Linked DNA regions of Oreochromis niloticus. The protein of the gene in region 1 purifies or fractionates together with the protein of each later gene. This does not show direct contact. Links are inferred from orthologs where the notes say so. Each region holds a gene or a part of one and is shown on either strand. Other genes may lie near its edges.

Region 1 (7,271 bases):
TTTATTGAAGTGAAAGGTAAATTTATAAGCACATGAACATCTGTGGTGATCCAGTTGACAGAAGGAGCAGTTAAGGGTAAACTTGCCTGCAGAAGGAAAATTAATCTAATGTATTGGATTTCACTAAGATATGTGGAAATGTTACTGAAGTGTTACTAAATTCCTTATATCACAAGACATAACTGAGGAAATGGGTGTCCTCAAGCACTCATTTCATTGACCAGTATCTGATGAACATACCATCACAAACCTGTTGAATGTCAGGATGTTTTAGAGTGCAAAATGACATTCATGATGCTTATGTTGAACTTGGTGTACCCGTTCTTGCAAAAGGAATGCCAGGCAGAGTCAGGGAGTCTCTGATTTCTTTGTGGTTTATTCTCGGCCTCAGGACAGGTTGTCACGTCCTGCACTGATGGCAGGTTTTATTGTTAACTCAAGGAGAACACCTGTAAAATGTTGCTCAACTGCAGCAGAGACGAGTGGCGTAAATTAAGATATTTTACAACATTCATGCTTTCCATCTTAAAAGCTTTCATCTTTGCACTTGTCATAAACCTTTTTGCAAAACTACCATGTGTCAGCTCAACATTTGGACCCTATAAACATGCAAACTCTTTAACCTCACTCCCATAGTTTTTATAGCTGACCTTTCAGATCTGTGACCAAGTGTTTCTGCTCATTCTGTGCTACAGAAAAGTATTTGCCCCCTTCCTTTCCTTTCTACATGTGTCAGATCATCAAAAACTTATTCTGTATTAGATAAAGATAACCACAGTAAATACACAAAGCAGTTTTTAAACAATGGTTTCATTTATTAAGAGAAAAACCTGCCTGGCCCTGTGTGGAAAAAGTACTTCCCCCTGCTAACAGACACATTGAATCAAGAAATCACTTAAATAGAGCCTGTCTGATAAAGTGAAGATATCTAAAAGAGCTCAAAGGCGCTTTATATTGTAAGGTAGACCCTACAACAATACATACAGAGAAAAACCCAACAATCATATGAACCCCAATGAGCAAGCACTTTGGCAACAGTGGGAAGGAAAAACTCCCTTTCAACAGAAAGAGACCTGACAGATGACAACTGAAGGCTCTCCCTCCCATTCTACTTTTGAAATACTCTAGGACCCACAAGTAAGACAGCGAAGTGCTCTAATGGGGTGATACGGTACTATAAGGTCATTAAGATAAGATGGGGGCTGGTTATTCAAGACCTTGTATGTGAGGAGAAAGTTTTTGAATTCAATTCTGGATTTAACAGGGAGCCAACGAAGAGAAGGCAATATAGGAAAACTATGTTCTCTCTTTCTAATCCCTGTCAGTACTCTTGCTGCAGCATTTTAGATTAACTGAAGGCTTTCAGGGAGTTTTAAACCTTCCCAGGAGTGGCTGGACTACCAAAATTACTCCAAGAGCGCATCAGTGGCTCATCCAAGAGTTCACAAAAAAAGCCAGGTTTCATGGGTCAACAATAAGAAAGAGACTCAGCCTAAATTCTTGGGAGAGTTCAAAGGTGAAAACCACCACTGATCAAAGAGAACACAAAGGCTCATCTCATATTTGCCAAAAAACATCTTGATGATCCCCAGGACCTTTGGGAAAATATTTGGATGGGTTGAGTCGTGTTATACTTGGTGTGAAACACACAGTATTTCATAAAAAGAACATCAGTCAAACAGTTAAACACAGTGATGGTAGTGTGAGGGTCTGGGGCTGCTTTGCTGCTTCGGAACCTGAACAACAAATTGATGGAACCATGAATTCTGCTCTCTACCAGAAAATCCTGAAAGAGAATGTCCGGTCATCAGATCATGCCCTGAAATTTAAGCACACTTTAGTTACATGGCAGGACAATAATCAGCAAGCCCAGGTTTGAGTGACTCAAAAAAAATAAAAGGAATGTTTGAAGTGACCAAGTCAAAGTCTGACTGAAATTCTTTAGCATAACCTTAAACAGGCTGTGCATGCTTGAAACCCCTCCAGTGTGGCTGAAATAAAACAATTCTGCACATGTGATTGTAGTTCCTGCTGCCGAGGGTGGCACAACCAGTTTTTAGGTTGAGGGGCAATTACTTTATCACACATGACCAGGTAGATGTGGATACCTTTTTTTCTCTGCATCTTGTTTTTACTCGGGTTATCTTTGACTAATATTAAAATTTGTTTGACGATCTGAAACATTTAAATTTTACAATCCTCTGTTTTCAAGCCAACTGTAAGATAAGTTGTTCCACGCATATCTTAGAATGTGCAACAGTCCTGGGGATAATCCCTGACTGACTCCATGATAAGCGATCAGGACTCTGACTGTAATGACTCTGTTTTCTCCTTGTCACTATAGATAGTTGTTTCCGTCTCTGGTCATTTGTTTCGGCTTGCTGTCATGCTGCAGAATTAATCTGGGACCCTGGTGTATATTTAGGTAATTCCCTGAAGCAGGTCAACTCTTTTTACAGCCTGATTTTTCTTTTCCACCTAGTTTAATGTAGAAGTAAAAACTATTTTGAAAAGAGCAGAAATGTGATTCTTTCTTTTTAAGTTTCCTTTGCTAGTTTTTTTTCTCTATTGAGAAAACAAAGGTCTGAAAAAAGATCTCCCAAATGTGAGAAATCTCTTTGTACTTTGGATTAGGAATTCAGTTTTGATGAGTATCTTGGCTGTCTTATTCAGATTTGCCCCTCTAAAATATATTGTGTCTCAATTTGAAATAAAAATGACAATAGCATGCTTTTATTTCACATCTTTGGATCGCTCATAAATGGTCCAGAATGCAGTTGTGAGACTTCTCACCAGCTCCTCTAAAAGAACATGGATTATGTCCTCTTTATACCAGTACCCCATTAAGATTTTACTGAGCTCCTCATGGTCAAATACCTCCTTAAATTAATGGACAAGAGGAAATTGCATTTTTAATTTTGCTGCCTTTAAGTTGTGGAATTTGCTACCATTGAACTTAAGATCTGCGGCCGCTATTTATACCTTTAAAAAGAAGCTTAAGATGAACCTGTGCACACTTGCTTTTAGTTTATGTTTATTTAAAAGGGACAATGCATATTAATTAACATGAGCACTTACATCCATCATATAAATGTGGCAGATTTAGCCACGTTGATTCAATTTCATCAGTAGTCACTGGCAGGTTGATGGCATAACAAATGAGTCAACAAAACCAAACATTCAGAAGCATGTGAACTTAAGTGAAATACAGAAACACATATGAAATAAAGAATAATAATAAATACCCATATACCATATTTAAACACATTAGAATCAATTACCTTCAGTGACATTATTTCACATCAGGACAGCATGTTTGATTATCCAGTAACCACTGTTTTATAGATTTAGAGAAAGAAGTAAAGAATGTTATATTCCTTATTTCTGCGGGTATTGTATTGTACTGTGGGTAAGTATAGCTGATTGCCAAATGCACTTTTCCTGAGGGGTATTTTACAGTCTCCTCTAAAAAATGCTGTGGTAGATACAGCTTAACTTTGATTTTATTTAATGACCTCATTAGAGGAGTCGGGGCCGGTCACTTTTATCTATTTATCCATTTTAATTGTATTGTTATTGTGCTTTATATTGCAGAGCACTTTGTAACTTTTGTTTTTGAAAAGCGCTTTATAAACATATGTTACTGTTTATTTACTTGAAATATTAATTAATTAAGATTTTGTTTACCACTAAGATAAAGGCACCTGACACTGAGTTAAAAAATAAATTCCAGTTTTGTTATGGAAAGGATGTCTGAACATTTAAGCAGGAAACTGTCTATTAAGGGTTTACAAAGTTGGAACGGCCCTTTTTAAAGTATCAAATGGTTTAGTATTTGGTTTGCCAGTATTTTTGCCTGCATAGACAGAAATAGAAACACTTATTTTAAGTAAGATAAATAATAATAATAGCTCTCATATGGTGGTCAGGATTAAAACATCAACATTTTGTATCTTCTTCAGCAGTCAGTGCAAACCAGCCACATAAGCCTTTTATCAAAAAATCCATTTCCTTTACCTGGATTTGTGTTGGTTGAGCCTATCAGCTCCTTTGTGTGATGTGTGATGCCTAAAATAACTTTGGGTTCACTAATATGGGTGAAACCGCTGTTTGGTGTTTTGCTGGTGGTGTGGCGATGCCTGGGAGGCCTGTGGGGTGCCTTTTCTGACCTGTACAGGTAACAGTGGTTATAATAGACAGGTGCAGGACAGCACGAGGCATGTCTCAGCCAATCACAGCCGAGGTCCAGTGAGACTGCAGTGGTTTAAAACTGATAACAGCCGTGAGCTGAGCTCTATGGCTCAATGTGTCTGCAGAAATACCTTGAGACTGTATGAACCTCTGTGTCACACTATTTCTGCATTTTTTTTAGGCTTTTAGTCTTTCCAGATATTTTTTTCTTCAAAGAAAGTTTTAAGATGATTTCCTCTTCGCCGTTTCTTCTGCTGCTTCTCTCCGGGTGGGGTTTGCTCGGTTTTGTGTCGGGTTCCCCCGCTGTGGAGGAAGCTTACGGGGCTGTGGTGAGCATCGTGTCTCCAGGACAGCAGTATCTGACCGGGGAATCCCTTCACTCCCTCTTTAATACACTGGAGAACCGTGTGCAGTGCGGCGAAGTGCCGTGTGAAAAGGTGAGTTTTATTAGGCTAAAGCTGCAACCGAGCTGGAGAGCCTTGAGTCGGGTGCGGTGGAAAAAGGTCGAGGTCCAAAAGCTATTACGCAAGTGATAGATTCGGCTGCTTTCAATTGTAACAAATTTACTAATAATAAAAATAATGTTAAAATAAAAATTTAAATTTTAACATTACTTCTTTTAGATTTAGATTTAAGCACTTATCTGCTGAATAATCATCTGTAAAGTTTACTTACATATTCCAAACTGCTTATTTACTCCTTCTGTAAGAGTGTGCAAAAGTTAACTAAAAGTAAAGTAAGGGTGCTTTCAAATAATGCTGTAAGTACTTTTTTAATCAAAGTGCAGCAAAGCGCAATAAACAGAAAATCCTTAAATCCCTTCAGCATTAAAATAGCACCATTTTTCCACCTTGGCCGGCCAGTTGTTCCGAGCATTTGGTAGTTTCATGATGGGATTTAGGCTCCTATTTGTATTTTTCTATTTAATCCCAGGCTTGTTTAATAAACTGGGCTTGTCAATGGGAATCTTTGAGCTGCTTTTGAAAGGAAAAAATGTCTTAAGTGTAACTTTATTACATAATATTTGCCGTGGATGCACAGAAAAAAAGAAGAAGAAAAAGAAAGAAGTGTCATTTAATTGAACCTAAAAGGAGACAGTAATCTTATGATCATTTACAACATAAAACAGCTATTTGTCGCATTTATGTTTTATAAGTTCAGACCTTTTTCTTTTCTTTCCTCTTCTTTCTTTCTCCTGTGCAGTAAGTTATTAAATAAAGAGTCTCTGGTGGAAGTCTGGCTACTGTAATGCTAAAAGTTTAATGATAAAGTAAGTGAAATAAGCTTTAATCAAGGTTTTATCAAGAAAAACAGTGTTGGACAGCATTTTGCCTTGTATCAATAGGCTTCTTCTTTCAGTCAACAGGAGCCTAAACACCGATCACGGCCTTTAACGGCAGGTGTTTCTCCTGCCTTAGAATTGGCCTTTTTTAAAGGGTGCTGTGTTCACATCCCTATCTGACCATCTAATAAAGATAAAATCTCATTTTTTTTCAGTAAAGGAATCTTCAGCTCATAAAAGCTGGTTTAAAAATAAGTTGTTACAGTGCTGGTGATTTTTCTCCAGCGTTGGCTAAAAGCTCTCTTAGGGGGCACCAAAAATTAAGCAGGAAAAAAAAAACCCAGGCTGGCTGAAACAATTACTCTTCGGTTTCAAGTTCAGTGTGTTAGCACTAATCCATGCTTATTTTATAAGTGTTGCTGTTACTCAAAGTATTTGCAGGCAACTTAGACAAAACCACTTTATCAGTGAGTGAGAGCGAAGTCCTTGGACTTCTTAGATGTCAGCTGAAAACAGCATGAATGTGCAGTGCATGCCTGATAAATGTCCGCTATCAGACAGCTGTGGCAGCCACCAGTGAATGATGGATGAAATAAAAGGGATGAGAAAACTGTAAATGTCATTGTAGGTAAATTATTGTTTGTGAGAACTGATGTAAAAGTCTTAGCAGTAGTGACATCGGCTTGCACTGTAGATTATAAGAGGCAAAATGTGAAAGAGGTTCAATATTGACCCACAATAAAAACGTTTCTATTAGTTCGCTGTCTTAGAGTTCATATACAGTGCTGTGAAAACATATTTGTCCCCGTCTGATTTCTTAGCTTTTTGAATATTTGTCAAACTTAGATGTTTCACATAATCCAACTAATTTTAGCATTAAACAAAGAAAACGCAAGTTGATGCAAAATCCATTTTTTAAATGATCATTTTACTTATAGAAGTAAAGCTATCCAAACCGACCTGGTCTTGAGTGAAAGCCTAAGCCTAACTGGTTGTGCCACCCTTCGCAGCAAGAACTAGTCAAGTGTTTGTATTAACTGGAATTGAGTCTTTCACATCTCTGTGGAGGAATTCCACAGGAAGTCCACTCTTATTTGCAGAATTGCTTTAATTTGGCAACATCGGAGGGTTTTCAGGCATCAACGACCTGTTTAAGGTCATGTCAAAGCATCTCAATAAGATTTCAGTCCAGACTTTGACTAGGCCAGTCCAAAACCTCCACTTTGTCTTTTTTTAACCATTCAGAGTTGGACTTGCTGGTTTGATTCTAATCATTGTCCTGCTGCATAACCCAAGTGCTCTTGAGCTTCAGCCCTCTCTAGTAGAGAGCAGACTTCATGAATCCACCATGTTTGACCCCACCCGGAGAGAAACGTTTTAGGAAATCCCTTGTTAGTTTTACACCAATGTAGCGGGAACAGTCCATAGAATATTTTCTCAAAAGTCTTAGGGATCATCAAGATGTTGTTACTGTTTTTAATATGGCAAATGTGAGACGAGTCATTGTGTTCTTTGCTAGTTTTGCTAGTTTTCACTAGCACTAGTTTTCTCCTTGAGCTCTCCCATGGGTGCCATTTTTCCCAGTCTCTTCCTTATTGCTGAATCATAAACTCTGAGCTTAACTGAGACCTGCAGTTCTTTAGATGTTGTTCTGAGTTCTTTTGTGACTTCCCGAATTAGTCGTCGATGTGCTTTTGGAGTAATTTTGCTAGGCCGGTCACTCCTGGAAAGATTCACCATTGTTCCAAGTTTTCTCCATTTGTGGATAATGGCTCTCACTGTGTTTCACTTTAGAAAT
Region 2 (7,377 bases), on another chromosome or scaffold:
TACATATGCATGCGGCACAACTAGAATAGCCCAAAATAAAGTTCATGTTACACCCCAAGCAGCCTGTTTAAAATGGCTGCATTACCTCCTCAAAATGTCTTGAAGTTCTCCAGAGGCCTGGTAATGAACTAATCATTTGATTCAGGTGTGTTGACCCAGGGCGATATCTAAAACCTGCAGGACACCAGCCCTTGAGGCCTGGAGTTCCCCCACCCCTGCTCTACACCAACTGTTTTTGGTGATTTAATCAGACCTTGTGACTTTATGTCAAGTCCCGGATTCTTGCTGCGACTATAGGACTTGAAAATTTTGCCTTTAAACCATCTTGAAGCAGTGCATAGCATGTGACTAAAAAGAAAATAAATAAACTTACAAGTTTCCTCACATAAACAGCTTTATTAAGCAACAATGCAGTCTGACTAAACAGTGAGGATGCTAGACACGACGAAAAAAAAAAAAAGTGGACATATCACATCATCGTAGTCTGCATCTGGCAGAAGGCATGAGTCACATTGAGGGAAAGTTAAAAAAAAAAAAAAAATGTTAAGAACAAATTTAAAAAGGGAAATAGCTAAACATGCAACAGGCCTACAATTAGCTATCAGGACCTGCAGTAAATACAAATTATGGCTTAAAAACCAGACCATGGAATGTCACTGGGTGATCTAAACGTTGGACCAAGATTATTGGTGGGTCTTGTTTCCTGTCTGGTGGGAGAGAGGCAACAGTTAGAGAACACAGAAAAACTACTGTTAGCTGATGCCGACTGATCGAAGAGCTGACTTACCTTGGCCCAATGGTTTTGGTTTCACCCCACACAAATGGAGCAGCAGTGTTATCCGCCTCTGCAAGATGGGACAGTTACCTTAATACTTTCAGTAATTAATGTCTCAATGTCTCAGGGTGCAGCACAAAAAGTTTATATTTCAGGTCCATTTAAGATCTCAGACCCATTCTTAAAATGGAGTATTGTTTCTAGGTAGGATCTAGGTGAGAAACGGGATATTTCACATTTTACACAGTTGCAGTTCATCACAACAGGCCTGAGCAGTCTTCCAGAGTTAGAGTTTTATTCAGTAATATTTACTAAAACTAGCAACTGAGACCATTAACCCAGATGAAGCGTTTACAGAGGTCACAGATCAAGTGAGCATAAGCTTCAAGCAGGAGGAGCAGTTGTCTTCAGCTTTCCATTACAAGGAAAGCGAGCCTAAAGTACTTTAATGCTTGATTAACACAGCCAGGTTAAGGTTAGTTATCCTTGTGCCAGTACCAAGATGATGAGGTCATAAGTCATACCTTGATCCCAATCCTCAGTCATGTTTGGGTTAACCCAAGTGCTGACTGGGACATGCCAGTTACAAGGTCCATTTGAACTTGAACTTCCATCTATAATAGGGTTGTAAAATAAGAAATATTCACGATGTTAAACATGATTAAATTTAAGTTAAAAAAAAAAAAAAAAAAAAAAAAAAAAAGGAAAAGCAATCTTACCTTCTTCCATGTCCACAGGAACTCTGTCCTCACAGGTCTCAGTGTGGTGAGCCAGCTCATGTTTGGGGACCAGGTGGCGAGCATTAAAAGGGCAGGTTTTTAATTCACGGGCCAGTTTGGGATGGTTCTGCAGAGAGTTTATATAAACAATTAAACTTCCAGTCATGGCTAAAGTTTAATTCAAGCCAGGGAATTACTCGAGACCAGTACCAGCTTCTCCATTTAACAATTTCTCTTCTCCCTCACCCACCAGTGGAGAAAATTTGGCTACCTCAGTGCTGTGATGTTCTGCTTGATAAAAATAATTTTAAGCGCTGGTTCAGCGGTTAGATTATTCAATAGGATGCTGTTTAACTCAGCTGCATGACACCGAGGCCCTTCTAACATTTAATCTACCCTCAATGACGTGAGAAGAAAGCAGTAATTTGAATTTAGTTTAAACTGTGCAGGGCTGCAACATCCAGGCTAAGTGCTGCTAATATATTGGTGACTAGAAGCAAATGCAACTGGCTAATACTGAGGTCAGCTAAACCAATTTATATAAACACAGAATGTCTGTTAGTGGCCTAAAGAGAGAGAAAAAAAATAAAAATAAAATAAATACTAGTTACTATACCAAGCTACAAAACTAGGAATAAAAATTCTCATTAATTGAATTCATTCATTCGTATCACAAAGTTATATTGCATCATAAAATCAATTTTAAGAAGACTTTAGTACAAGTCTTAATTTGCTCACATTTGTATAGACAGCCTGCCTGATGAGGCTTAGGTGCATTGTATCTGACAGTCACTGCTTTCACAAAGTGTAATGTTTGCATTGTAATGGCTGCTGTGAACTTCTAACAAGGCCAAACTCTCTTATAAGATTAAAACCATCACTGGAACTATTGAAACTAAAAAAACGAAACGAAAATGAGTAAACCCAAATTGACAGACTAATGTAAAATAGAAAAAAAATACAACTAAAACTTAAAATTTTAAGATACTAGCACTTGACGCACCTTCCTGCACTTTATGATGTGGTAAGGAAAGCGGCTGGACCGGATCTTGTGGTTTTTATCAAAAGGGCACTGAAGAAGTTTTTCTGGGTCTGTGTTTCCTTTCCCATCTTTAAAGGGGGTGAGAAGCAAATGCATTAACTTAGCATTTAAAAGTACTGACAACACCGTAAAATGTTTTTAAAAAAAAAAGAAAAGAAAAAAAGTTGGTTTTACCATATTCCTCCACCAGCTGTGCTGGCTCTGCAGAAGAGGTCCTGCAGGGACTGGTGGTGCTTCCAATTCCGAAATTGCTCGCCATCTGTAGCTGGGATTTACTGTGGGCAGGCAAACTGTTTAAATTAAAATATAACCACCCACCCCCAAATACGCTTGCACTTTGGTAATGCCAACACATGACACAGCATTCACAAGGTGCATAACCACATTAACCCTTCAGCTCTGCACGTGTGCAACATTTTTCTGTCACCCCAAAGTGAGCTTAACTTAACCTGCTGGTTTGGATTAATTTTAAATATAGAGAAGAAGAAAAAAAATACTCCTAATATGTGTATAAAGACAGAAACATGAGTGACCTTAGTGAATGAAGCTAGCTCTTTTCCCCCAACTCTTTGCGTCGCAGTACACGTGCAGGTGGTTCCTACACCCCCTGTTCTTCTTTGACCTGATTAAACATCTAACGCACTCTTAACTGCAGAGTTTAATATTAATTTTTCATGGCTTTTATGTTCATCTTCCAGCTCACAACTCCCATGATGACCAAATATTCACATTTGACTGATATAAAGCCATTCTTTATGGCTAAAATAAGTCGCAGGGCTACCTCATGGACACGCTTCACAGTACCTAGCTCATCAAACGTTCAAACGTTACCGTAAAATATGCAGCAAGAAGAGCTGGCCCGTTTCCAAAATCTGTTAGCAAAAAGTTGCCTAGCTACTCAGCACATTGCCCGAGACACGTGAATTTTAAACACCTGCACTTAATTTTTGTAAAGTCTGTAGAAAATACATCAGATAAAGCCTAGAAGCGGTTTAAAATTACCGTGAAAGAGAGCCGTTTCTCTCAAAAGACATCAAGCAACCAGAGCCGCCCCACTTCTTTAAACCTCGCGAAGAGTCACGTGATTAGCACTTAAAAAAATTATTTACTCTACAGGGATTTTAACTTTTAAATTTTACTTTTTAAAAAATCTTTTTATATGAACTATGAATTCTATCAATAAAATGTGCAAACTGAATCTCTGGTTTATGGTGGAAGAAGCAGCTAATTAAATTAGTTGTCCGTGCAAAAAGTACCCATTCATTTTTAAGTAAAGATGTTAAATAGCATCAATAAAACATGCTAATTAAATTGCACTGACTTTTGGAAAAAGTTACGAAATTAAATGAACTGTTCAAGCAAAATTAAGAGTACAGTAGACACTACTGATTACGTGTAAAATGTCAGTACTCAAAGTAAAATGCTAACGTAAAAGTACACAGCTACTGGCAAAGAAATAGTATAGAGAATAAGAAAAAATTTGAAATTCTTTAGTGATTTTAAAAGGTTAGAAATCATTGTATTAGAGCAGCGAAAACAACAAAATGTAATATACTTATACTTATAATGAAAAACTTATTTGTAATTGGACTTATTTGTATCACATCATATCATATTTTTCTTATATTATAGCAGACTTTTTATTTTGTGAATGGATGGTTCATTAAAATATGAAAGAGTCAATGTTTTTAGAATGCTTATTTACATTTATCAAAGAAAGAAAGCTTTTTTGGCATCATTTTACACACTTAGCATGTAGCATGTGGCTCATATTGAGCCTGGCACCATTTTTTTGCCATTACGGTAACTGACTTACTTTTATCTTTGCTGTATATGAGCGTCATTACGGTAAGTGCGCTGGCTGTCAAACATGGCGCTGTCCTGTTCGAGTCTGTGTAGTCAACTGTCTTTAATCCGACACTGTCGTCTGGGTACAAACAGGATAACACATGGTCTTCACTCTCCCTACATGCTCTGTCAGTTCAGGTATATATGAAGCCGTTTAACATTGTCGCTTCCATCATTTATCATTTTTGTTTTACTCGTGTTTCGTGAACCTTTGCTAAGCTAGCTATACCTACCGGCTGATAAGAGATATTGAAAATAAAATAAAATAAAAATTAAAGTACGTTGTTGATATTTTCATCAGAGCAATTATTATATTGTGATTGGTGCATACCCTAACGATAAAGAGCAATCATTTTTAATTCTTTAATGTACAAACAAAGATGTTATTCCTTTAATGACAGATAATATCTTTCCTCTCTGACAGACTGCCCCTGTGTAGACACTACTCATCGTCCGAAGTCAGACGAGGTTTTGCTCGTTATGTTGCCTCCAAACTCCAGTGGGCTAATACCAAATATGAAGATTTCCTTAAAAAGCGATTTCCCCGCTTTTTTCTGCTCTATCACACTTTCGTGGAAGGTAAGCTCACGGTTTACTCACATCTGAGGTCTCCAAAAACACTACAGGAGTGCCCTGTGAGTCTTGTTAGCCCAACAATGAGGTTGGGAGACCTGACTAGGGACCAGGAAACAGGCTGCTGTAGTACATAGGCACCTTATATATGAAGGTTTTTGAAGATGAAAGTTGCTGAGAGAGAGAGAATTCAAGACCCAACTCATGATCAGAATCTGGAGTTAAAATAAAACATTTATACAGGGACATGAATAGCCAGATTTCTCATAGTCCATGACCTTAATATGATCGTTTCACCTGGTCTACTAACATCAGGGTCCTCAGGGTCTTTACTTCCTGTATGGATTTGTCTGCTTCTGTTCTAGAATTGAAAAAGCCTTTTGGATGGTAGGTGAAATATCTTCAAAAACCTAAAGAAGTCCAGTTGTCTTCTTTCAAACATCACCCCATTGGCAGCATTATATTGAGAAAACACTGTTCTTGTCCATCACTTACCCAAGCTTATTTTTTTCAGGTCCTGCAAGTCACATTTTCATTTTACTCTATTAAAACTGCATTAAACAAGCAAACAAACATTGCATACTACACACTGTTTGTAATATACAAATGATTATATAATTACATCATTTTGTGGCCCCAATCTAAAGTGAACATCTACAGAAGTACAAGCAGGCCCAGGAGTTGGTGTCTAAATAAACAGCATGCTACAAAGCACTTTGTTCTAAGAGTCAAATAATATTTTTAAATCTACAGTAATATTTAAAACAATTTTTTTCTGCCACTCATTCCAGGATTCAAGCTCCTTTTCCGAGATGCTAAAGATATCAGGAGGATAAAAGCAAAAATGTGGTCTGATGGAGTAAAGTTCCAGGATTTGCCTTACAGGGACATGGAGAAACTCAGACAGGTGGGTCTGTTTACCACACTGCACACAGAAATACCAGAATTTTCCACACATATTAGAAATGGAGGGAATCAAACTGCTTATAGCTCAGTGAAAATGAGTACTTTCCTGATTATTATTAAATTTTATTAAATGTAATTACATTTATTTTGTTATTATTAAATCTGCAATAAGTCAGAAAAAAAATTATTTGATGTTTTTTAATCTTTTAAATTGCAAAAGTTTTGAATATACTTGATTTTGATTGTTGATATGATGCTATTGCTTCTGAGTGTAAAATTTTCTCTTGCCTGTATTCTGTCTAATGGCCAGCAGGAGGCGAACTCTGGTTGCAAAAAGAAATTCACTTGTATAGAAATTACCTACTGCTTTTTTTTTTATCTGGGATCTTTTTTTAAAATCCTTTTCTTCATACATTCACTCTTAGCAAAAAAAGTTGCGTTTTATATCATGTTATTTACCAAAATATGATGCATTTTGTCACAGAAAATCCAATATAATCCTATTTTATTTAGATTTTCGATTGGAGTATTATTAGTGTAATACCGGCAATGGGAATTCATGTCGGGTTAACACCATCTCTATGCACACAAATAAAACCAGTTCTATTTTGTTTTGTCACTAATTGTCAAAACTGTTTAAAATTTTAAAGGCAAATAAACTATTATATTATTTAGGGCAGTCATCAGTTTGTATTCATTAAAAGAATAAATAGACAGAAAAACAGAAATCAAGATCAAAATAACAAATGAATATATTCTAATTTAAACACCTAAAATGAAAAGGCTTAAATCAACCATAAAAAGAAAAAACGAACACCCACTGTTTGAACCGGTCATAATGAGTTAATTCTGTCTGATATTAGGTTAACAGGCGTGAGGATTTATCAAGATGCGAGTACTTCAGGTGCATTAGGGGTGGGATGGCATGCCTCAGGAGGTAGAGAAGGTCATCTACTTTATCAGCATTGAAAAAAGTGTAATGCTGATGTAAGCAATGCTCTTATTTATTTTTGGCAGCTTCTTCTTTTTGATCAGTTCAGTGAAATGTCTGTTTCCAACTCTTCTTGTCTTCTAAATCTTCCCTTTTCATGCCAACCATCGGCATTTTCTGTCAAAACAACCGTAATGCTCCTTTTTGTTTTGATTTTTCTTGCTTGTCAGCCTCATCTTCTGCATCCTTCTCCCGATAATCCCACTTCCTCCCCTCCACACATCTCAGCCGATTCATCGCACTGACTTTGTACGTCAGGTTTTCAATCTGAGCTATCGCTCTGAATAAATACTAATGGTATTTAAAAATTAATTTCATAATCGTGAAGACTGTAAGAGCATCTTTTAAGGGGAAGGATTAGCGTTTAGTCACCCGTTCTCATAAATTAGTGTAGATTTTGGTAGAGTTTCAATTCCTGTGGTTATGGCAGTGCAGTATTTTTAGTTTATGCATTGTCAGTGTTTCAGGGCTGTAATGTTTATTGTCTCACAGTAACTTGGCTCACTTGACTTGTGTTTGACAG
Region 3 (7,004 bases), about 20 Mb from region 1:
TTTAACATCTGCAGGAAGCTCCTGAGGATGTTTTACCAGTCGGTGGTTGCAGGAGTACTTTTCTATGCTGTGGTGTGTAGGGGGAGCAGTACAGCAAAGAAGGACTCATCCAGGCTGGAAAAACTGATCAGGAAGGCTGGCTCTGTGGTCGGCATGAAGCTGGACACTCTGGTGTCAGTGGCAGAGAAAAGGACACTAAAGAAACTGCTGGACATTATGGACAATGCTGGGCATCCTCTGCACACAGTCGTAAACAACCAGAGGAGCCTGTTCAGCGACAGGTTGCTTCTCCCAAAGTCAAGAACCAACAGACTTAAAAACTCCTTTGTCCAACATGCCATCAGACTGTTTAACTCCTCACTGGAGGGGAGAGGGAGGGGAAACAGGAGGACAAAGGAGGGCGGGAACAACTGAGCTGTAGGTGCTTTTTAACACTGTGCAATATTTGTTTTGTTTTGTTTTTTTTCTTATATTCGACTGTGTTATATAGATACAGAATATTGTATATTCTGTATCTATATATGTGTATATATGGTGTATTTATGCTTATATCCTTACTCTCATTCCCCTTTATTGTATCTGTAACATGCAACTTCTTTCGGTGCTTTGCTACTGGAAACTGAATTTCCCGGAGGAACCCACCCGAGGGATTAATAAAGTTTCATCTAATCTATCTAATCTGATAAATACAGATTCTTAGACATGGCAGTTAGTTAAGTGAATCGAGATAATGGAAGGATAACCTGCATATGCAGAACTCATTTCACTGTACAGAATTGTTTGTTTGTTTGGGTGTTTTTAACCTTCATCATCCATTTCTTGCAGGACCTCTTCCTCCTCTTCATTACATTTCATCTCCTGGTCAGCTGTGCCTCCTGCTGGCCTCTCCACCTCTGTTGTCATCTCCTTGCCTGGTGGAAGGACACACCTGTGAGACAAACCTGCACAAAAACTAGAGGTCCAAGTCAGTAGTTAGCAGCCAGCTAGCAGCTAGAACCACCTCTGTCAGCGTGCACCCATCAGTCAAACATGCCTCTAAAAATGCAAATATTAAGCCTTAATCCAATTTCAACAGGTGAGTTATAAAGCATATAGTTAGGGCTGGACCAGGTGACCCTGAATCCTCCCTTAGTTATGCTGCAATAGACGTAGGCTGCCGGGGGATTCCCATGACGCATTGAGTTTTTCCTTTCCAGTCACCTTTCTCACTCTCTATGGCTACGTTCACACTGCAGGCGAAAGCGCATCAAATCCGATTTTTTTTTTGACCCTATGCGACCCATATCCGATCATGGTATGACAGTGTGAACAGCACAAATCCGATATTTTCAAATCCGATCTGGGTCACTTTCGTATGTGGTACTGAATCCGATACGTATCTGATGTGTTAGAAAGCGACTGCTGTTTGAACGGTCATGTCGCATTAAATCCGTCTTTTACATCACTGACACAAGACAGATGCCAATTATCAGCGCCGGAGAAGACATCGCGAACGCTTCCTGGCCATCCAGTGTAGATGTCAGTGAAACTGTTGGGAAGACAACGTGAACATTTTATTTGTACTGTATAATCTGCAGATTATCCTTTGAAGCACCGCTCCTCTAAAACAGCAATAAGGATCATTATTAGGTTATTTACATTATTATGTAAATAACAGAATAATTTAAAGCAAAAATTGGGAAACAAAGTCTGAAGTCTTTATATTAAGGGCCATCAGTCAAACAATATTGTTTGCTCTGGGTCTAAACAGAGCGAGTTGTGTGTGACATCTTCTTTTTAACATGCGGGTCGCTTTGAGCGTTCACACTAGAGCGCGTTTGCTGTCGCATTTTATTTGTAGTGTGAACAAGCAGACAAAAAAATCGGATTTGATCAAAAAATCGGAATTGAGCATTAAGACCTGCAGTGTGAACGTAGCCTATGTGTTAATAGACCTCTCTGCACTGTATCACACTTGTTATTAATCTCTGTCTCTCTTCCACAGCATGTCTTTATCCTGTTTTCCTTCTCTCACCCCAACCAATCACAGCAGATGGCCCCGCCCCTCCCTAAGCCTGGTTCTGCCAGAGGTTTCTTCCTGTTAAAAGGGAGTTTTTCCTTCCCACTGTCGCCAAAGTGCTTGCTCATAGGGGGTCATATGATTGTTGGGTTTTTCTCTGTATCTATTATTGTAGGATCTACTGTGCAATATAAAGCGCCCTGAGGCGACTGTTGTTGTGATTTGGCGCTATATAAATAAAATTTAATTTAATTGAATTGAAAGTTATAAAAACATTCATCAGGTACAGTTGTTCTGAACAGGGAGATTATCTATAGAGACCTCATTTTTAATACAGTCTAATAAACCAATTCTGCAATTCAAACAGGACATCAGTCAAAATAAGCTTTATAAAAGTATTTCACAGGGGGTTCCTAACAAAGAGCATGTGGCTAATTATACCAATGTTATTTTTGAACACAAAAGGAAATCTCAAACTAAAATTCTTTCCTTTTGGTTTAAATCTTTGAAAACAAATTTTAAAAAACTAAATAAACAGTAAAAGCTAACCCAGTTTACTGTTGCAGCTCTACACAGATCTGAAGCTATTTCATTAATAAATATGTCAGCTGCCCTGTATGAGCATTCTGCTAGTGGTTATCTCAAAGTTAGCAGTGCCAACTTCATCAATAAGGAGCTCCTATTAATATTTTATTTTCAACAACAAAGGGATTTAATTAGTAGCTGATAGAGGGAGTAGCTCAAAGTTGTTCTAGTTGACCCTAAACTCGATCAGAAGCAACAGAGCTTAAAATACATTAATAAATTCAGTTCATGAGCAAGTTTCAAAACTCAATAAAAACACATTCAGTAACCACAGCTGCAGCTTAGCATGCTAAAGCTCAACGACGTTTCACTTACTGATTTCTAACTATTAAAAGTTGAGTGATATGAACAAATCTATACACCGTTATTTTTCCCTACAGTCTCTCCACACTGCAGCTTAGCATTGAGCTAACTATGCTAACTAGCCGAGCTGCTAACTCAAAGACTTCAATAACTCTGGATGACATCCACTGAAAAAGTATACCAACCAGACGCTTACCTTATCCGGACATTTAATGTGCAAAATAATTATATATTCCGTTAAAATTCCGCCTGTGAACCGTGTGCTTTTCTTTTAGGAATAAAATGAATAATGTGTGGTCTTCACACACACGTTGGGGATGTTGTTTGCTCCTGCTAGCACAACCATATCCCTCCGCCAACAACCTCCTGTTAGCGCTGCTGCTGTTACGGGACTACATTCAGACAGAGCGGAGTGATACCTGTCCGTGGGGCTCACAGCAGCTGTTTTGATATGTGGCTTATTAAATGTTTTCCTCCTCGTAACCGGATGTTTTTGCTTATCGATGATAAATACGCTCAGTTTAAGCACCACACTCTGCCAGTTTAAGTAGAGTTCAGCTTCATGTCGGCACGCTAACAGTTGTTAGCATGCTTCTTATCTTTGGCATGCTAATGCTAAGCTAATTATTAGCAACACAGAGTTAATCGGTTTGGGACTGTTTTTATTTACAGAGTCTATAAACTCTGATTAAAGACATGAACGGCGAACATCAAAGGCTCTAATGTAACAGCTCCGGAATCTAGCTAAACTTTCCAGCCCAAAATGTCAGGATGGTTTGGCGATTCCTAACACAACAACCAACAAAATGTAAAAAGAAATCAGTAAATATATTTATATGTAAATAAGATACATGTTTACTAAGTCTAGTATTTGTTGTTGTTGTTGTTGTTATTGTTTTTGGCATAAATAAAGCATTTCATAAGTGGAATTGTGTAATTTATGTTTTTTCCATTTTAAAATTCGGACTGAAGGATGTTATTCTATGTCAGCCTAAAAGGCAATATCAACATGCATCATCATCATCATTATTATTATTATTATTATTATTATTATTATTATTACTAGTTTAAAAAAATCTCTCAGAACCCGATGACGCAAGCAGAGTGCGTGTGGCACGTGATGTCAGGGACCCGGAAGGAAGTTTGCACCAGTGTTGTTATAGCAGCTCCGCAGGTAAAGAGACGAAAAGCCCTCTCTGTAGCCGCTGCTCTTTGTTTATTTGTTTTTGTTTGTGGTCTCTGAGTGTCGCTATCATGAATGTGACGCTCGAGGTGAAGCAGTACATCTCCAAGATGATCGAGATCAGCGGGCCCGGGATGAAGGTGCTGCTCATGGACAAGGAGACGGTGAGGCACCGACCCAGGACTGTTAGCGGTGCTGGTGCTGAGCAGTGTTTACAGCAACGTTACTGTGTCTGATGGTGTCTGTGTGTGTGCGCGTCTGTGTGTTCAGACCAGTATAGTGAGCGTGGTGTACACTCAGTCTGAGATCCTGCAGAAGGAGGTTTACCTGTTTGAGCGGATTGACTCTCAGAACAGAGATAACATGAAGCACCTTAAAGCTATCTGCTTCTTGCGGCCCACCAAGGTACAAACCACCCTCTGAGTAACATTGTGTGTGTCTGTGTGTGAGGTAACACCATCTGCAACAGTGTGTTTGTGTGCTTGCTGCAGGAGAATGTGGAGCACCTGATCCAGGAGCTGAGGAGGCCCAAGTACAGTGTCTACTTTATCTGTAAGTTTCCACAGTGACAGGGCGGGAGTGAGAGGAGAACGGGGTTGCTGGTTTGGCACTCGTCTTCCTCGGACAGTTCAAACATAGTTCGGAAGCTAACATATGCAACTGAGTTTAGCTTTGCTGCAGAATCCTAGAGATCAGTGATGTAATCAGAAAATTCGTGATACACATGGATGAGGGCCTGCTACCAGCGAATCCTGCTGCTTTTAATGACGCCAGTCTGATTAAACACAGTGACACTGTCATCAAATGTGAGTCGTTTTCTACTTAGAGCTGTGGATTTGTCAGCTGAGCAGATATCAGAGATTTTTTCTGTGGAGTTAGGTGTGGGGCAGAAGTTTGTTTCAGTCTGTTTCATCTGAAGTTCATCACCTGACTTGTGTGTGTGTGTGTGTGTGTGTGTGTGTGTGTGTGTGTGTGTGTGTGTTTCAGACTTTAGCAACGTGATCAGTAAGAGTGAGATCAAGGCCTTGGCTGAGGCTGATGAACAGGAAGTGGTGGCTGAAGTCCAGGTGAGTGTCAGGACCTCAGAGAAAGCGTGGGGGTTTAATATTTCCACATTACTGATGATGTAAGATCTCTCTGTCAGTCATGGCGGTTCATTTTTAGCTGAACTTGACTGCCAAAATACATCTTAACAACACGATAACTTAACAACGTCACTATTATTACAATGATATTAGTCCAGAGTCTTTTTCTCTCTTCACCTCCTTGTTGCATGTGGAAACCTGGTTCAGTCTTTGGACAGATCATTATTTCACTGATTTAACATTTCCTCTAATAATGCAATAAATACTTGTTTATAATCAGAGTTTCAGCTGACTAGAGCTACATTCAGCTGAAAGTGTTCCTCTGTGACGACTTCATTTGATGACATCAGTAACATGTAGCCCAACATGCTAAGTTTATGTATATGTATGTAATATGAAAGAATTCCTTGCTAGTAACATCCAGTTTGGCCTGCGTGACCATCAGTGCTCCATTAGCCTCTCATCATTTCTCCAAATGTCAGGTGAGATCCTCCTGATGCTACTGATAGTCACAAATGGAGGAGGAGCTTCCTATGGCGGTTTGTGGTCGGGCCGAGCTGTTTGATCAAATTTAATTTTAATGCAGACACAGAACAAAACTGTGCCGAGAATTCATAGGATGTCTTGGAAAGCTGTCCTCCTCCCTGCGTGAGCATCACCATCACTCTGCTTCATGTTTGGTGTGAACACAGTTCATACACCTGAGTGACATCATCAAAACCAAAATAGCAGAAGTATAGCTTACTGTGTGTGTGTGTGTGTGTGTGTGTGTGTGTGTGTGTGTGTGTGTGTGTCTGCAGGAGTTCTACGGAGACTTCATCGCCGTGAATCCTCACCTCTTCTCCCTGAACCTGCAGGGAGTCACTCGGGTAAGAACCACAAGGCCCTCAGCTGTCAGAGCTCCACCCTAAAAAGCTCCACACACTGAAATCACATCACCTCTGTGTGTGTGTGTGTGTGTGTGTGTGTGTGTGTGCGTGTGCGTGTGTGTGTGTGTGCTTTTTAGGGGCGGAGCTGGGAACCCTCTATGTTGGCACGCTGCACTCAGGGATTGACCTCCGTCCTGCTTGCTCTGAAGAAATGTCCAATGATCCGCTACCAGTTGTCCTCAGACATGTCCAAACGGCTCGCGGAGAGCGTCAAGGTTTCCACAGCATCATCATCACACACGTCATCACTGAAAAGTGCTTTTAATGCCACTACAGGTTATTTTAGCGCCGTGTGTCCTGTTGGCTGTTCGAAGATGATGCCACCTCTGTGCTGTAACCTGAGCCCTTTGGTTAAAGCACTTGAGCCTCAAGCTGTTAACACTTTTACTCAAGTAGTACTCTGAGTAGTACTTTTATTCTTCAGTATTTTATTTGTTTGTTGTCAGCAAATCATCACGAAGGAGTACGAGCTGTTTGACTTCAGGAAGACTGAAGTTCCTCCTCTGCTGCTTATCCTGGACCGCAGCGACGATGCCATCACGCCGTTGCTCAATCAGGTGACTGGTCGCTGTCCTCTGTGACGTCGATGAAGAAATTAATTAAAGGAAATCATTTTACATTTTTAATAATTCTGTCATCTTTTACACTGCATCCTCTGCAGCTCATTTGTCACTTTAATTTGATGGATGTTGTGTGCCGCTACAAAATCAGCAAATCATAAATTCACTGGTTGTGTGTCTGTGTGAAGTGCATGCGTGTTTACGAGCTTTCGCTGTGTTGCAGTGGACATACCAGGCCATGGTCCACGAGCTGCTTGGCCTCAACAACAACAGGATCGACCTGTCCAGAGTCCCCGGGATCAGCAAAGACCTGAGAGAGGTGGTCCTGTCAGCTGAGAATGACGAGTTCTACGCCAACGT
Region 4 (7,812 bases), on another chromosome or scaffold:
ATGTGAGGCCATCTGTCTGACGGCTAAAGCTTGGTTGTAGCTTGGTAATGCAATAGGATAATGATTCCAAGCTGCAGCAACAAATCTACAGCAGAATGGCTGAAAAAAAAAAAAGAAATCAAAGTTTTGTAAAATTACAGTCAAATTCAAGATCTCAATCTGATTAAAATTATGTGGCGAGAACCTAATACGCTGCACATGAACAACTGCCTGCTTTACATCTATATATATTTCTACATATATAAATATCTAGCAGATGGTAGATAACGGTCATTTCTTTGCTGCACATGATTATTACGAAGAACATTTTTAGAGTTTTTAACATGTCACCACCTTTCCCCCTTTGTTTTGAATTACACCAAACATGGATTTTTGATGGATTATCATGATTTATATTGTAAATAAAATGGTTTTTATATCGTGCTTTTCTACTCTACTTAAGCACTCATTATACAACTTGTGTCATTCACCCAATCTACAGGTACGTTTTTTCTGTGAATGCATATGTCGAACTTACTAACCTTCCAATTAGTAGGTGACCTCTATCTCTGGAGCTATAGCCACCCCTTGTAGAAAAAGTCAATCTGCTTACTAGTGTTGTGCATCTTTTCTTCTCTGTATTCACAGTTGTAACATTTACCAGAAGAAACGAAAAGGCCGACGAGCAGCAGACGGGCTTATTGCAGGAAGACTCCAGTGATGACGAGTCGCCCAACAGAAGGTATAATGTCATTCAGTACCAAGAATATAGTTGATTAGTGTTAAAATGAATCTGAATAATATTGTGTTTTAAAAGAATGCTAACAGTCCCTCTCTGTCGCACTGTGTTACTGTGTTTAATGCTGTAGATCCACAGGAGGAAGTTACCTCACTCTGTCACCTCCAGTGAAGGGCGTGTTTGACGACGTGTGATGCACGAAGGACCTGGAGGGAAATCAAAAAGCTAATATGTGCTGTAAATAGAATAAATGATTCAAATGGAACATTTTCTGCAAAGGGAAGTCTGAATGCAGATAATTCACTCTTAAGAAAAAAAACGTAAAGATGTAAAATATAACTTTAATAAAGGGTTTTATATCAACAGCATAAATACAGGTGGTATTTATAGCGATCGGTAACTAGAAGGACTTCTTAACACATGTGTGTAAATGCGTGCTTGATATTGTTATGTTGTATAATAAAATTGGTGGATAATAGACCTCATAGTATGTGCATAGATTTTATATTTATTTAATTTGAAATTCAATTCTTGTGCCTAAAGCAAAATGTCAAAGAGAATATATCAAAAACATAAACATGTTTAAAGTTGTTTTCAACTGTATCTGCTAAATAGCATCATTTTCATGTGGTGCAGTCTCCAGGCATCTATTTATACAATTTAGAACTGTTCGACTGTTATTGTATAATTAAAACATAATGTTTTTGCGTGTACTTTATCTGCTGTTGGATTTTGAGTGACCTAAAATATATAAAGACATATACATCGTGAGGATTCTCTCTTACTGGTACGCTCATCAGAGCATGCAGGTTAAATGGGGAAGTAGTATTTCTGCCCCCTTTGGTGTCAGCAATGGTGTCAGACAGGGTGGGATTTTGTCTCCAATTTTATTTAATCTATATGTTGATGATCTGTCCATGCAGCTGAGAGCCTGTAACACTGGGTGTATATTAGGTAAAACACTGATAAATCATCTTATGTATGCAGATGACCTGGTTGTTTTTAGTCCAAGCAGTGCTGGGTTGCAGGATCTTCTTAATGTCTGTACTGAATATGGTGTGCAATATGACATAGAGTACAATGCTGCTAAAAGTGCTGTTTTGATATGTAGAACCAAGCAGGATAAACAGCTAAATTTCCCTTTGTTTAAACTGGCCCAAAAAACTCTTGAAGTTCATAAAAAGGTGAAATACCTCGGTCACTTTATTACTGAGGAAATGAATGATGATGATGACATTTACAGACAACGATGTAAGCTCTATGTGCAGGCAAATACTATTGCACGCAAATTCAGCTTTTGTTCACTTCCAGTTAAAGTGGCTTTGTTTAAAGCGTATTGCACACCGCTATATACTGCCCCCTTGTGGTCATCCTACAAACAATGTAGCATGCAGAAGCTGCATGTTGCATATAATGATGCGATGAGAATCCTTTGCAGGATACCTAGAAGTGGTAGTGCCAGTCAGATGTTTGTAGCTGTGGGTGTTTGGACTTTTAAAGCACTTTTAAGAAAGTTAATGTACAATTTTAGAGAACGACTGGATGGTTCAAGTAACAGTATAATTTTAGCACTTACAGATCCGACACTGAGTGGTTCCCGTTACTCATCCAGTCTGAGAAAGCACTGGTTAAAGTGTTTGTGTATTTATTGATTTATTTTAAGTAATTGTGTTTTATGTATATTATGGTTTTATATTTTTACAAATTTTTTACAAATGTTTTATATTTTTACTAATGTTTTATATACTTATTTATCTATATATAGATATATATGTGTGTGTGTGTGTGTGTGTGTGTGTTTCTGTCTTGTTTTTTATGGACATGAAGTCTGCTAATAAAGATTGAATTGAAATAAAGCAGCATCCCAAGATGTCCTTTATAGCCCTTTTTTCAAATGTCACCATGTTTATTTTACCACATGGCCTGAGGGTTGTTGTTTTTTTTCTTTTAAATAGATAATTATTGCAAGAGAATTGTTTGCAAATATATGGAGAGAGGTTTATACTGTAATTCCATGAGTGTACAGAGTTTTGTTTTTTGTTTTCGTTTTTTTACATGTATTTTTTGCAGCCCTCTGCATGTCCTAATGACAGAATTTGTCCAATATATCCATTATCCCTTTCAAACAGATTGCCTCTCTAACTCTTTCTCCACACCACTCAACCTGATCTGTTCTTCTCATCTACTCTTTTCTCATCCTGGTCACTCCCAGTTCGAGGATCTTCAGCTCTGCCACGTCCAGCTTGGGCGGCTGACTTTTGCTAGTGCAATGCATACCTCCACCTCTCCAGGCATTCTTCCACCTGCTCTAACAATAGAGCACAATGTTGTCTGCAAACATAAGTCCTGCCCATCATCACTAAAAACAAGAAAGGGCTCAGAGCTGAATCTCTGAGTCAGGCCCACCCTTAGTTTGAGCCCATCTGTCACTTCTACCACATAACTTACCACTGTCTCGCTGTCTTCATACATGTCCTGCACCATGCTCATATACTTCTTTACCACTCCTGACTTCCTCGTGGAGTACCAAAATTCCTCTCTTGAAACCCTATCGTAAGTGCTGAGAGAGTGCAACTTCTTATGACGCTCTCTATACATCTCCATCAACACTCTTAAGGCAAACATAGCACATGAAGCACACTGGCTTCATGCTATGGCTTATTACCTTTATTCTTCTGTAGTTAATACAGCTCTTCACATTATCCTTGTTCTTGAAGTACCGTGCAGTTCTCTATTCTTCAGGCATCCTCTGAAATTGAATTAAACAATCAGGTTAAAGTCCATTGCCCTCTCTCTCTGACTTCTCCATACCTCCACAGGTATGTCATCTGGACCTTTCCTGTTTCCATTCTCTTGATAGATCCTCTCATTTCCTCATTATTTCTCTGCACTTCCTGATCCACTAACTTAACTTCATCTGTTCCCCATTTCATTTTTTCTTCATCAGCTTCTCAAAATACTTCTCAACACACCATCTTACATCTCTTGTTGAAATATATACGTTGACTCCATATTTATGTTATAATTAGCCATAATCATAAAGTTTGTCAACTTGAAAAATCAATTAATGCAATCTGAATAAGACAAATGTTGTTTAATTTTAAAATATTAAATGTATTTTTTCCAAAAAAAAAAGATTCAAAAGAAGTCAAAAGACAAACGGGATAAAGAAGTAATATTAGTTTATTTCTTTTTTCTTCATGAAAATTGTCATTAAGTTTCAAAACCATTAAACCATAAAAAAGAAAGACAATGCACAAGAAAAAACAAAATTATACTAAAATGTAACTCAAAATAGACAGAGAAAGGAGCACTCTTCCTTGCATGACCAAAAAAACAACACCAGTTCTATGAGGTTAGAACGATGCCACCTTAAAATGAAACTGGAAAAAAATATTGAAACTGAAAAAAACAGAAACATAAAAAATTGAAACTGAAAAATTTTACAGTTTCAATTAATCTTTTATCACTATCAATTTTTTCACTTTCAATACAAAATTTTTCAGTACATTTATTTCATTTACAATATTTTTTTTTTTCAGTTTCAATATTTTTTTCAGTTTTATTTTAAGGTGGCATCGTTCTAACCCCATACAGTTCCCACTTAAATGATAAAAGTCACACTTCAGATCAGGCCCAAGAAAGAAAGAAAGAAAGGCTGGGTAGAGAAATCCCTATCCTGCTTACATTAGTTTATCTATAAATAATATAATATTTTATTGTTTAGTTTTTAATTAATGTTTTACATGTATTAATATTTTTAATATACCTACATTTATTATTTAAATCTTATTTAACATGATATGACACGTTAATGTTACAGATGCAGAGGACCGGTTGACCGTTGCCGGTGATGCCTTTCTAGGCACTTCGTAAAAAACAAATTCTTAGATCTTAAAGTAGCCTAGACTACCAGTCTCTCAGTATTTATTACTTGACAGCAGTCAAAAGCAAACTGTTTCGAAGCTGATATTGCAAAATACTTTAGGGTTTAGGGGGATTTCGTTGTCTATTAATTTATTTATGTGAAACTAAATATGATTTGTTTTTACAGCAATCCGAGGAAGTACTTGAACGTCTCAGTCATAGGCAGCAGGCAGAGCACACAGACTGAGCTGTCTGTGTGGCAATGATGGATACAAGCTAATCGTCCGACGTTGACGGTCTACGAAAGCTGTTAGAATATAAAACGAGGTGTCACTCCATATATCGCCTCACGGATTTGGCTCTGATTTCTGACAGGCAGACATATCCGGTAAGTAGGTTCGGCTGCTAGTTTTAGCTAAGCGACCTAAAAACGGTAACAGCAACTGTGAAGGAGCAGCGCTGCTAACAATGTTAGCGTTAGCTTGCAGCGTAGAGTTCCTTCGCTTCTTCTTTCAGCACTGGCCCAAATAAGAAGAAAATGTGGCCATTTCTTTACACGTTTATGTAGCTTTGTCACATATTTAATAAATAATATACATAAAAAAAATTCGAAGTTAGTATTTCTGCTTTCTCTTGACCTGAATTTGCCTAATCGATTATACGAAGGACCCATTTTTCTCGAGTTGTTCCGTGTTATCGCCACCGTCACGATACGGGTGGCTCTGATTTATACTGCCAAACACAACACAGGTATACCCTGGCTCCAGGCCTGTGTTGTGATTTAGTAGTACACATCAGATTTTTCTAACGTGATATTAAATTGAAGGTTAGCTGGTTGTTCGTTTTGTTACTAATTGCGCTGTCACATGTTAAACAGTTCTTTGCGCCTTTGCAATCCTTTGGTCATTTGATTGACTAAGGAGAATCACGGAGAATCACGGAAAGCAGGAATCCGCATCGACAGTATGTATTACAAACTAGGCAATACGGCACTTCGTCGGTGATGTGTAGTGCTGCTCTTTAGTATGTAGTTGTTGCATTTTAGCTCCCGTTGGTCCTTGGGAATGTCCTTCTAGCTTGTTTGTTTTTTCCCTTCCCCATTAAAAACATTTTAACTGAGTCACCACTTTTGAGCACATCTTTTTGCTGTCTGTGGTGCTGGGTATGTTTCAGTGTGACACCGTACAGGTGTGTAATATTTGTAAACATAACACCAAAGCTGTGTATGTGTTGTTTCCAACAGAATCACTCAACATACTGTTGTCTGTATGTATGTGCAAATAACATTTCCTGTGTAAGCTTTTTGTGTTTTTGCTGACACAAAAGCTGCAACAACCGACAGCGAGCTTTTTTTTTTTACATGTCTGCAACCAACTTGCAAAACCACCACCTTTTTGCCAGAAATGCACAGAAAATATGTGTTTAAAAGATGCAGTTAGAAAATAAAGTGTGGAGAAGTGTGCTAACCGTGGGCTACTTTGTGTGTTTTCAGTTGGTAGACAGCAATGGGTGGGCTGGGGAACGGGCGTCGTGGAGGAAGGTCACCGCCTCTTATGATTGCCGCTCTGATCGCCTGTATCTTGGTTCTGGGCTTTAACTACTGGGTGTCCAGCTCCCGCAACCTGGAGCTTCAGGTGGGTTAAAAAGTATTCAAACTCTTCCTCATTTCTTATTTCTTTTGCATAATTATCATGCTTACAGGTTTAAAAAAATTTTTTGTTTTTACGTCTTTCTCTAATAGTACTTACTTTGATGTTGCGTTACATGTGTTTTATTTTACCAATATAAATGTGCCAAGAACTGTTCTCGCTTACTGACTTAAAAGAAAATATAAATACTGTCATAATTTGGAGACCTGTGTGACCTTGTAATGATTGCACCAATTCTAACTTTATTCTTTTTTTCTTTCACAATCACCATTCACACATAACTTTGAAAAGGAGTGTCTCCTTTCTTGTAAAATACCTAGAAGTTAGGCAAGGTTTATACTACCTTGCCCTAACTGAAGCAAGTGAGACCTGCAGTTCTTTAGATGTTGTTCTGGGTTCCTTTATGACCTCCTGGATGAACTTTAAGGCGCTCTTGGTGTAATGTTGGTAGGCTGGCCACTCCTGGGAAGGTTCACCACTGTTCCAGGTTTTCTTCAATTGTGAAAAATGGCTCTCACAGTGTTTCACTTAGACGTGGCTTTGTAACACTTTTCAGACTGATAGATGTAAGTGACTCAACTCCATTGAGAGTTTTTGAGTTTTCTTTAGATTGCGACATGATGTGTTGCTGCTTGAGATATTTTAGCCTACTTCCCTTTGTCAGATAGGTTTTATTTTTTTCAGTCCAGTTTTTATTGTTGTTTAATATATTGCATTAAATGGCAAGAAATTCAGAAATTTCTGTCAAATAAGGTTAGAAAGACTCCTGTTTTAGCTTATTAGACACAGAAAATAAGGTAACACATGCATGTGTAACTATATATATCTGTATGCATAGTTAACCCTTAAAGACTCATTCTGAACCAGGAAGTTTCTGTCATTTTGTTCTCTTCATATGGATGTTATCATGACCCATGACAAATTCTAAATAAGTGGCCTATATAAAAAGCAGTAACGTGATACTGATCTTGCTGCATGTGACACAGACTAAACTGTATGAGCTGGAGGGCCAGGTGCGACGTGGAGCAGCAGAGCGAGGAGCAGACGAGATGAAGAAGAAGGAGTTCGAGCAGGAGATCCAGAAACAAAAGGATCAGATCAGCAACATACAAAGTCTCTATAAGAGACAGTTGGAGGGAGCTGAGAACACCTGCAGCCAACACAAGGTGCATACAAACAAAACTGGTGACAAAAAACCTTTATGTGCACAAACGCTACCTCAGAGGTGCTGTCTATCAGCTCTTGTCACAAGGGAATCTATGGGCAATAAACACACTTTTCTGACTTACTCACTGTTGCGGTTCACACCAAATAAACAACTTATCAGGGAAAATTTTCATATGAACTATAAATAAGTGTGATAAGTGAGTATTGACATGCGTTGTGTGTTTGTGTTTAGGCCACACTGCAGCAGAACATTTCCTCCAGTGCAAAAACCATACAGGAGCTCAAAGGTAACGTAATGTTTAGCTTGTTGTAAGTGTTGCTTTGACTTAGCAACCATCACATGGCCGCTGAAAAACTGTGCACTTAATTTCATGTATGTGTTTGTGTGTACTGTAGGTCAGCTGAATCGGC

Evidence for each region.
Region 2: the proteins of slc39a4 (region 1) and letmd1 purify together in Homo sapiens (affinity purification with mass spectrometry; 3 studies listed by BioGRID and IntAct, counting the BioPlex papers as one, with this or other methods). This does not show direct contact. The link is inferred for Oreochromis niloticus from reciprocal best matches to the Homo sapiens genes SLC39A4 and LETMD1.
Region 3: the proteins of slc39a4 (region 1) and vps45 purify together in Homo sapiens (affinity purification with mass spectrometry; 3 studies listed by BioGRID and IntAct, counting the BioPlex papers as one, with this or other methods). This does not show direct contact. The link is inferred for Oreochromis niloticus from reciprocal best matches to the Homo sapiens genes SLC39A4 and VPS45.
Region 4: the proteins of slc39a4 (region 1) and golm1 purify together in Homo sapiens (affinity purification with mass spectrometry; 3 studies listed by BioGRID and IntAct, counting the BioPlex papers as one, with this or other methods). This does not show direct contact. The link is inferred for Oreochromis niloticus from reciprocal best matches to the Homo sapiens genes SLC39A4 and GOLM1.

What each region holds. Positions count from the first base shown.
Region 1 is NC_031985.2:18,074,013-18,081,283, reverse strand, and holds the start of slc39a4 (zinc transporter ZIP4), read left to right. Parts: upstream 1-4,263; 5' UTR 4,264-4,418; coding exon 4,419-4,628; intron 4,629-7,271. UniProt on the Homo sapiens protein: Selective transporter that mediates the uptake of Zn(2+). Plays an essential role for dietary zinc uptake from small intestine. The Zn(2+) uniporter activity is regulated by zinc availability.
Region 2 is NC_031984.2:9,542,027-9,549,403, forward strand, and holds the start of letmd1 (LETM1 domain-containing protein 1), read left to right. Parts: upstream 1-4,360; 5' UTR 4,361-4,406; coding exon 4,407-4,522; intron 4,523-4,808; coding exon 4,809-4,963; intron 4,964-5,748; coding exon 5,749-5,864; intron 5,865-7,377. Other genes in the region: gtsf1 (gametocyte-specific factor 1), read right to left, coding at 632-707, 788-845, 1,300-1,389, 1,495-1,621, 2,498-2,604, 2,711-2,826, 3,539-3,570. UniProt on the Homo sapiens protein: Plays an essential role for mitochondrial structure and function, as well as thermogenesis of brown adipocytes.
Region 3 is NC_031985.2:38,208,348-38,215,351, reverse strand, and holds the start of vps45 (vacuolar protein sorting-associated protein 45), read left to right. Parts: upstream 1-3,990; 5' UTR 3,991-4,141; coding exon 4,142-4,234; intron 4,235-4,340; coding exon 4,341-4,475; intron 4,476-4,561; coding exon 4,562-4,622; intron 4,623-5,057; coding exon 5,058-5,137; intron 5,138-5,955; coding exon 5,956-6,024; intron 6,025-6,161; coding exon 6,162-6,299; intron 6,300-6,530; coding exon 6,531-6,641; intron 6,642-6,867; coding exon 6,868-7,002; intron 7,003-7,004. UniProt on the Homo sapiens protein: May play a role in vesicle-mediated protein trafficking from the Golgi stack through the trans-Golgi network.
Region 4 is NC_031977.2:20,711,214-20,719,025, forward strand, and holds the start of golm1 (Golgi membrane protein 1), read left to right. Parts: upstream 1-4,789; 5' UTR 4,790-4,973; intron 4,974-6,077; 5' UTR 6,078-6,090; coding exon 6,091-6,219; intron 6,220-7,220; coding exon 7,221-7,400; intron 7,401-7,633; coding exon 7,634-7,688; intron 7,689-7,797; coding exon 7,798-7,812. Other genes in the region: LMBR1 domain-containing protein 2-B, read left to right, coding at 628-721, 849-912.